2 linked regions of the Neurospora crassa OR74A genome follow. The protein of the gene in region 1 interacts with the protein of each later gene in a pairwise test. Links are inferred from orthologs where the notes say so. Each region holds a gene or a part of one and is shown in the gene's direction. Other genes may lie near its edges. The genes, in order: cot-1 and NCU03246.

What was found.
Region 2: the proteins of cot-1 (region 1) and NCU03246 interact in binary tests that used the Saccharomyces cerevisiae proteins (3 or more experiments, as listed by UniProt). The link is inferred for Neurospora crassa OR74A from reciprocal best matches to the Saccharomyces cerevisiae genes CBK1 and CDC14.

Annotation. Positions count from the first base shown.
Region 1 is NC_026504.1:4,484,506-4,488,990, reverse strand, and holds the start of cot-1 (serine/threonine-protein kinase orb6), read left to right. Parts: upstream 1-1,669; 5' UTR 1,670-2,306; coding exon 2,307-2,494; intron 2,495-2,572; coding exon 2,573-2,893; intron 2,894-2,960; coding exon 2,961-3,458; intron 3,459-3,517; coding exon 3,518-3,994; intron 3,995-4,052; coding exon 4,053-4,365; 3' UTR 4,366-4,485. Other genes in the region: tim54 (mitochondrial import inner membrane translocase subunit tim-54), read right to left, coding at 1-176, 245-310. UniProt on the Saccharomyces cerevisiae protein: Protein kinase that seems to play a role in the regulation of cell morphogenesis and proliferation.
Region 2 is NC_026501.1:5,041,826-5,046,187, forward strand, and holds the start of NCU03246 (tyrosine-protein phosphatase CDC14), read left to right. Parts: upstream 1-1,303; 5' UTR 1,304-1,849; coding exon 1,850-1,907; intron 1,908-2,127; coding exon 2,128-2,430; intron 2,431-2,491; coding exon 2,492-4,095; 3' UTR 4,096-4,362. Other genes in the region: NCU03245 (hypothetical protein), read right to left, coding at 1-236, 450-481. UniProt on the Saccharomyces cerevisiae protein: Protein phosphatase which antagonizes mitotic cyclin-dependent kinase CDC28, the inactivation of which is essential for exit from mitosis. To access its substrates, is released from nucleolar sequestration during mitosis.

The DNA of each region.
Region 1 (4,485 bases):
CTCTTCTCGCGGCGGTCGTAAATAATTGCAGCTGTGATGGAGGCCGAGACGGTCCAGAAGATCATCCAATTTCGGGAGGGGAGCTTGTTGGGCAGGTTAGGGAGACCGAGCATGCGAAGTGCCTGGTTCTGCGGCCTCAGGGCTTTCGGAGGAGGAGGAGGAGGAGGAGGAGGAGGCTAGGTGTGATGTGAGCCATAATATTCAGAAATACGATGAAGTGCGAAGGAGCCAAAGTGTAACATACTGTAGCCGTAGTTGCAGCCGGAGCGGCAGGCGGCGCAGTGGACGCCGGGGGTACTGGGTCGGCCATGGTATAAAGTGTTGCGCCGGCTGATGCTATTACTCTGATGTATGTCGTGTGGTGATGGAGTTTGCGCAATTACGGGCGCATGCAGCTTACTGTGACGGCGCGAGGGGTATCGTAGGGAGAGATCGGGGGGTGGTTCTCGCGGGGGGCGTCACAGTTGGAAGACAACTTGAAGAGGACGACGGGATTCCGTAACGATTGTACGGACTACGGACAGCGACTCCGTAGGAGCTCCGTTGAGGACCTTGGGGCCGGTGCAGCGGAGCACCCGACTGCCAAAATTCCCGGACACACTTTCTTATCGCGATAAGCCGATAAGCCATTCCCGCGGCGGCACCCACCTGCATCTTTCATCGCGTTTAGTGGTTGTGCACGGGCCATATGCGAAGGTCAACCGCACGTCATGCCAGTGACACTTGAATTAACTTTTAGTGTATAAATGCAGACCACGCAGACTTGGAACGGCCCAAGATTTTATCTTGAGAGTTCCAAGATAGTCTCATGTCTGGACTTTACTCTCATAAGTTGGGGAATTTAGTCAGCCCTATTGAAGCAGGTTCCATCTTTCTGAGCCAGAACTATAGGTTCTAAAAGCGTCTGCAAAGGGTACCTGAGCTTGTATAAGTCGGGCTACCTGTTCCGTGTTCTTACTTTCCCTGGATTCTCTGCTGAAGCATCGTAGAGGATGTCTCTACAGTAGACAATTGTATACTCGGTCGTGGCGACTTGGGCTTCATGTGCTGTCAGCGATCATGATGACCTCTTGCGTGATCAATGGGCACAACTGTTCCGAGACGCTGCAACCCCTGAAAGAACAGGAGCACCCAGGGAAGATGCGGTGTCGATGGCGCTAAGCGTGTTCACCCCACCTTCAGCTCCACCAGGATGCCCCTTCGATCAATTGCAGACCCGGGAGTGCCCGCTCCCAGCCAGTAACAAATTCCCGGACCAGAGTCTCGATGCTCTCGAGGTCCAATGCCGTTGCGTCGAGCTTCAACACTCGGGGGACTGGTGGTTTACCTATAGTGTGCTTGTGAGGCACGAGAAGATGGCAGCAGTGCGGAACAGACAGCAACGAGTTGACGTCTGACGATGAGGTTGGAGTCAGGGGTTTTCAGGTTGACCAGGGCACCCCATAGTTAGGTGGTCCTGTTTCGGCCTGGAGCTCACCACTGGACCTGGGCATGTCATCCCAAACATGGAACCCCTCTTTCTACGACCTCCTTATTCCTGGGCATCGTGTACTAGATTCACATCGAGGCCAGCTTCCTGTGGCAACAGAAAACGGAAACGTAAAGATGCTCCTAGTTGTCTGTTGTTATTCAAGGTGTCCTTTGAATGCGCCCGTGGCTGTCTCATATCATCACAGTCTATGTCTTGGTCACTTATAGATGGGATCTGTTAGGTTCCATGTCACCTCTATACGTCTAGGTCTTTATTTATACTGATACCGCAGGGACCCTGCCCCACCTGCTTCCCTTCCGTTTGTCTGATTCGTCCGTACCTAGGTTCTCCGAATTACAGCGCCCTGAATCGCCTCCAGCCAGTGCTCTCCTGTCAGACTCCTTCCTGTAGGTAGGCTGGAGAGGCTCACGTCGGTCACGCTTCCACTTTGCTTCCACTTCCACACTGCGCCTATCGACTGCACGTTCCAGCGGGACACTTCCACTTCGGACGGTGCCACTCAACCACCTGCCCCCCCAGCCTGGCCGCCCTCGATTCCCATCCCTACCATCTACAGTAGCCAACCGTCGTTCGATCCTCGTTGGACCCTGGTCCCAAGAAAAAGCAACCTCCTTTCCTCCCGTCTCCCCATACCTATCCCGTCTTGTACACAAACCCCTTTCTGTGCGCATAGATCCCATCGATCGGTCTGGGAGCTCGACTCTGATCGTTTCTCCATCTGCCGTCCCTCGGAATCTCGTCTGAGCTCGCTTGCGCCCTTCCCGCTACATACACCCGGAATCCACTGTTTACCGTTTAGAGACAAGGTACCAAGATGGACAACACCAACCGCCCCCATCTCAACCTGGGCACCAACGATACCCGCATGGCTCCAAACGATCGTACCTATCCCACCACCCCGTCCACCTTCCCCCAACCCGTCTTCCCAGGTCAACAAGCCGGTGGTTCCCAGCAGTACAACCAGGCCTACGCCCAGTCCGGCAACTACTATCAACAGAACCAGTATGCCAGCCACTACGCCCCTCCTGGTGCCGCCGACTACGGCTTCGTTCAAGCTCATTCTAACATTGACGGTACTAGCAACGACCCCAACACTGGTCTCGCCCACCAGTTCGCCCATCAGAACATTGGCAGCGCCGGAAGAGCCTCTCCCTACGGTTCTCGTGGCCCATCTCCCGCTCAACGCCCTCGCACATCCGGAAACTCTGGCCAGCAGCAAACCTACGGCAACTATCTGAGCGCCCCGATGCCTTCGAATACCCAGACCGAGTTCGCTCCCGCTCCCGAGCGGAACCCCGACAAATATGGCCCCAATGCCAACAACAACCAGAAGAAGTGCTCACAGCTGGCCTCTGACTTCTTTAAGGACAGCGTCAAGCGCGCCAGGGAGCGCAACCAGAGGTGAATGCTGCAGCGATGCGCTTTTGCCCCTACATCCCGCCGTGATCGGTGCTGACACCCTTTTCAGACAGAGCGAGATGGAGCAGAAGCTCGGTGAGACCAACGATGCCCGCCGTCGCGAATCGATCTGGTCAACCGCTGGCCGGAAGGAGGGCCAGTATTTGCGCTTCCTGAGAACCAAGGACAAGCCCGAGAACTACCAGACCATCAAGATCATCGGCAAGGGCGCTTTCGGCGAGGTCAAGCTCGTGCAGAAGAAGGCCGACGGCAAGGTTTACGCCATGAAGTCGCTTATCAAGACGGAAATGTTCAAGAAGGACCAGCTTGCCCACGTCCGAGCAGAAAGAGATATCTTGGCCGAGTCGGACAGCCCATGGGTTGTCAAGCTCTACACCACCTTCCAGGATGCGAACTTCCTTTACATGCTCATGGAGTTCTTGCCCGGTGGTGACTTGATGACCATGCTGATCAAATACGAAATCTTCTCGGAGGATATTACCCGTTTCTACATTGCCGAAATCGTCTTGGCTATCGACGCGGTCCATAAGCTGGGCTTCATTCACAGGTAAGCTTCGCCGGAAGCAATGCTCTGGAAAAGAGATACTGACACGGTTGTGCATGCAGAGATATTAAGCCAGACAACATCCTTCTTGATAGGGGTGGTCATGTCAAGCTTACAGATTTCGGTCTCTCTACCGGCTTCCACAAGCTCCATGATAACAACTACTACACACAACTGCTCCAGGGCAAATCCAACAAGCCGCGCGACAACCGCAACTCGGTTGCTATTGACCAAATCAACCTGACGGTCAGCAACCGTGCACAGATCAATGACTGGAGACGCTCCAGACGTTTGATGGCCTACTCGACCGTCGGTACACCAGATTATATTGCTCCGGAAATCTTCACTGGCCATGGTTACTCGTTTGATTGCGATTGGTGGTCTTTGGGTACCATCATGTTCGAGTGCTTGGTCGGCTGGCCTCCTTTCTGCGCCGAGGATAGCCACGACACTTACCGCAAGATCGTGAACTGGAGGCACTCGCTTTACTTCCCGGATGACATCACCCTTGGTGTAGATGCCGAGAACCTTATCAGAAGGTATGCATGCTTTTGACTTCCCCCAAAATCACGCGCTCACCATATTGACTTGTCATAGCCTCATCTGCAACACTGAGAACCGTCTCGGCCGTGGTGGTGCTCACGAAATCAAGAGCCACGCCTTCTTCCGCGGCGTTGAGTTCGACAGCTTGCGTCGCATCCGTGCGCCCTTCGAGCCCCGTCTTACATCCGCCATCGATACCACATACTTCCCTACGGACGAGATTGACCAGACGGATAACGCCACGCTGCTCAAGGCTCAGCAGGCCGCTAGGGGCGCCGCTGCCCCTGCGCAGCAGGAGGAGAGCCCAGAACTCAGCTTGCCTTTCATTGGATACACGTTCAAGCGTTTCGACAACAACTTCCGATAATTGCGTTACGTCTTCTCGCTGTCTGAATAATGAGCGTTGGTTTTCTTGGGGGGGAGGAAGGGGGCGTAATAGTGATGGCGAAAGGGAGAAGAGGTTGTGCTGCGGGGCGGCAGTATCTGG
Region 2 (4,362 bases), on another chromosome or scaffold:
GCACCTCCAACACCAACGCTAGGCTGTCCATAAAGGAATTCACGGCAACGCGCAGCATGCGGTTTGTGGTGGCCTTGTAGTCGACTTGCAGGACCGTCTCCCCAGCATGTTCGCTGCCAGGAGACGCAACGGTCGAAAGTTCCCGCTTCACGAGGCCGGAGAGCTCCTTGTCCACCCTCAAAGCCTGCAGGGCAACAGAAGCTAACCGAGCATCAGGGAAGGGCACTCGGAGTGTTCTTGTCGGTTGCTGTGTTAGTGTCGATTATCTTGAAAGGTATGCAGAGTTTGAGTGAAGCAAGGATGTGACGATGATCTCATGAGACGAATGGTACAAGATGAAAAATTGAAAAAAAAATCAAAAAAAAAAATTTCAAAAATTGGAAAATAAACAGAGGATCAAAACATATCAGAACAAGGAATGAAGTAACAATCAAAAACAAATGACCTACAGCGAGCAGGGGAAGTTATCGTCGGTTGCCATGGTTGCGGTCTTTAATAACCCCGAAGTAAACACTTGCAAGAAATATGTTGTCGTGAACCAAAGGGTTTCAGACTGGCACTCGCCTAACGGTTGTCAGGGGAGTTTGTGTGGTAAGCGCTACCCGATGACGAATGTCAAATTCCAACCGCCGCGAGTGTGCCTGGGCTGTGATGACCGATAACAGGCCCTTGTGGGAAACTCTGTAGGAACCTCAAACTGTATCTCACACTGGCAATTCCGCAGTGATGTTACTATCGTCTACAGTTATCGCAAGGTCGTAGGCGGCAGGCTGGCTGAACAGGGAACGAGTTTCGATATTCGGTTGTTGCCGTGTGCTGGGCGCAAAGGCATCATGGCGGCTTTACAGAAAAAGGACAAGCTCCGGCAACACCTCCCTCTCTACCTCAGCTGGAAAGTGGAGCTCTGGGGGGGGATCTCCCGTCAGAGCGAAGCGATTGGATGTTACTGGTCCAGGCGCGACTGCGGATGCCAAGAGAGAAGGTTGTCAGGACAACGGCGGGTGAGATGGAGCTTTGAACGCGCTTATTGGGCGGTGAATTGTTTTGGAAGATACCAAGCCCCCCGAATTCTTCGCTGGCCCACGCTAAACCCCGGGCGCAGGCAGAGCGGTCGGGCAAGATCAGTTGCGACTTGGAGGCGGTCTCTGCATGGAAGGTGAGGTGAAGGTCTCGCTCGTTCTCCGGTTCGCCAGGGTCCCTGCCAATGACAATACACACACGACATACAACCTTGCCAGCAAAAACACCGCTCTTGGTAAGTACCGGTAAAGGCCGTACCTGCTACAAAACCTGTTCTCCGCAACCAGCTCATACCCACCGGTCTTTTCTGACCTCCTCCTCTCGCACATCATCATCGAGTTGCCCACTCCTTTGTTTCTTCAATTCTCCTGCCTCCGGTGCCTTCGTTCTTTACAAGAATTGCATTCTCGCAGCCGGTGTCCTCTCGTCCTTCTTTGGAGGCTTTGGCCCTTGTTTTTGGCCCTTTCATCCCACCCCGCACCTGCAGTGCAGTACACAGTCCCTTGCCTCGCGGTATAGCTACCTAGCCCAGCTTGGCTGCTTGGTTTTCCCTTGTTGGCACACAATCGCTCGCGCAAACGATCTGCGATCTCGACCTCACCTTCTTCCCGTCAATCAATCCGACCATAATTTTGGCCGACCTCAAGTACAGCCCTCAAACGACAAAAGATCGAATTGGACTTTAACATCCTTCGCTCCCGCCTCCCTATACGTAGCTCATTGCATTGCACAGCATCACTATTCCCGTACGTGCGCCTGCGCATTGTCGCAACGCCAATCGCTCTCTCGACATAAACAGTCGACTTTGAGCCTCCCAGGCCACGACGCCATGGCTCCTTCCTCCAGACACTCCAGCAATCTGGGGCAAATCATCGAGTACATTCCCGGTACGTGTAGATTATTTGTGCGCCGCTCCGGTCCTCTTAATTGAAGCTACAATTTTTTTTTTGTTTTGCTTCTGGCTCCGTTGTCCGAAAACTCCATGTTTATGATCCACCCGCATCCCATGTTCACCGCTCCGCAACGGAGCTGCTCGTCCCAATATGAGCACCTTTGAATATCCTCTACAATATCAGCAATTGCCTTACAGTATACTAACCTTTACAGACCGATTGTACCTTGCATCTTACTCTGAACCTCCTACCGAGCATACCTTGTTTCCCTACCCGGATCCTGAACCACGGTCCCCGCGCAAGCGCTCTCAACGAACAATCGACCAGGTCACGGAGCGTAAGAAGCCATACTACTTCACTGTCGACGATACTCTTCTATACAATGCCTTCCACCACGATTTTGGCCCGTTCCACATCGGCCACCTTTACCGCTTCGCCCTGCAGTTCCACGAAATTCTTGGGGCCAAGGAGAACAAAGACAGGCCGGTAGTGTTCTGGAGCAGGGCCGATCCACGCAGTAGGTCATCTAAGTCCGCCTCCTCGAGAACAGCAAAGATTGCTGACCAATGTTACCTTAGGTCGTGCCAATGCCTCTTGTCTACTAGCTTGCTACATGGTTTTGATCCAATCGTGGCCTCCGCATCTAGCTCTTGCGCCGGTCGCCCAGGTTGACCCCCCTCTAATGCCGTTCAGAGACGCCGGCTACAGCCAGGCCGACTACGGCATCACGGTTCAGGACGTTGTGTACGGCGTTTGGAAGGCCAAGGAGGAAGGCTGCTGCGTGTTGGAGACATTCGACCTTGACGAGTACGAAAAGTTTGAGAGAGTTGAGCACGGCGACTTCAACTGGATTACACCCAACTTCCTGGCATTTGCCTCTCCTCAGCATACCCCGGTTGCTCCCACCCCCGAGGGGACCGAGCAGTGGTCACTTCTGCCAAAGACCCTAGCCGCCGTCGACGCACATCCTACGCTGCCGCAGCCCTTCAAAAATGTTCTCAGGCATTTCTCGGAGCGAGACATCGGCCTTGTCGTCAGGCTGAACTCGCAGCTCTACAATCCCTCATACTTTGAAGCCCTAGGAATCAACCACATCGACATGATCTTTGAGGACGGAACATGTCCTACCCTTTCGACCGTACGGAAATTCATCCGCATGGCCCATGAAACCATCTCTAGGAAGAAGGGCATTGCTGTTCATTGCAAAGCTGGCCTCGGCCGAACAGGCTGCCTCATCGGTGCCTACCTGATCTACCGACATGGATTTACAGCAAACGAGGTCATTGCCTACATGCGCTTCATGCGCCCAGGCATGGTCGTAGGGCCTCAGCAGCACTGGTTACATCTGAACCAGGGCATCTTCCGGGAGTGGTGGATTGAGGAGCGGGTTGAGCGGAGGCTGCGCAAAGAAATGGCAGCCGCTGCCGCCGCCGCCGCTCAGGCTAACGGGACAGCGCATCCCAGCACCCCTGTCCGTGCCGTGTCGAAGACGAGTCTTGGTCGTAGCTCTAGCAAAAATGGCGTGTCCACACCCTCTAACAGAGGATCAGTTCGGACACCGCTAGGCGAGATCGATCGGGAGTCGGCGCGTGACAATCATATCGGCGTACAAGAGGATTACCTCCCCGCACCTACGCCAGGACAGCCAAGGAAGACGCAGCGGGGCGCAGTAGATCGCCAGAAAGGATATGGCCGGGGACCTATTCAGACCACTGTGGAGGAAGAACCCGTTCCCATGACAGAAGTGACAACCGAGGTGATCACAGTTCACAAGAGCTCAAGAGGGCCGAGTTCAGAGGAGGAATGGAATCTTCGAAGATCTCGGCGAAGACAGTCTGCTGCTCCAACTTCACCAGGACAACCCCCCGAACGGTCTGTCACCCACCAAACCGCTACCACGAAAACGACTGTTTATCAAGTCATGGATAATGATGCATCGAACGATATCGAGAACATTGGTACTGCCGCAGCACGAATCAAGGCCCATGACCACGCTCCACGCACTAGTTCCGCGTCTGGAGTTTTGACCAAGATACGAGGCAACACTAGTGCGAAACGCCATCCACCTGGGAGCGTCAGAGAAGCTGGTGTTCGAAAGACGAGTGGACGAGTTGGGAGTATAGGGAACTCGACAACCAGTCCGGCCGCTGTATCGGCAATGCGTAAAATAAGTGGGATGTGACCCTATTCTCATGAGTCAAAAGATTATACTTGACTTGATGTGTTACAAACGAAAGCTCGGATTCATTGGCTTCATAATTCATTTGAGATACAAAAAGAAAAGGTGCGTTCAAGAGCATAGGGTTATGCCTTTGGGAGTCTTGGGTTTCTCAGTGGCAGCAAGCAAACTTGGAGCATTCAGCGAGCGAGATGCAGCATACTGTTTTAACCATCACGTTTGCATGATCAGCACTTCTTTTTTTTTTTTTTTTCACGCATGACGGCCTCT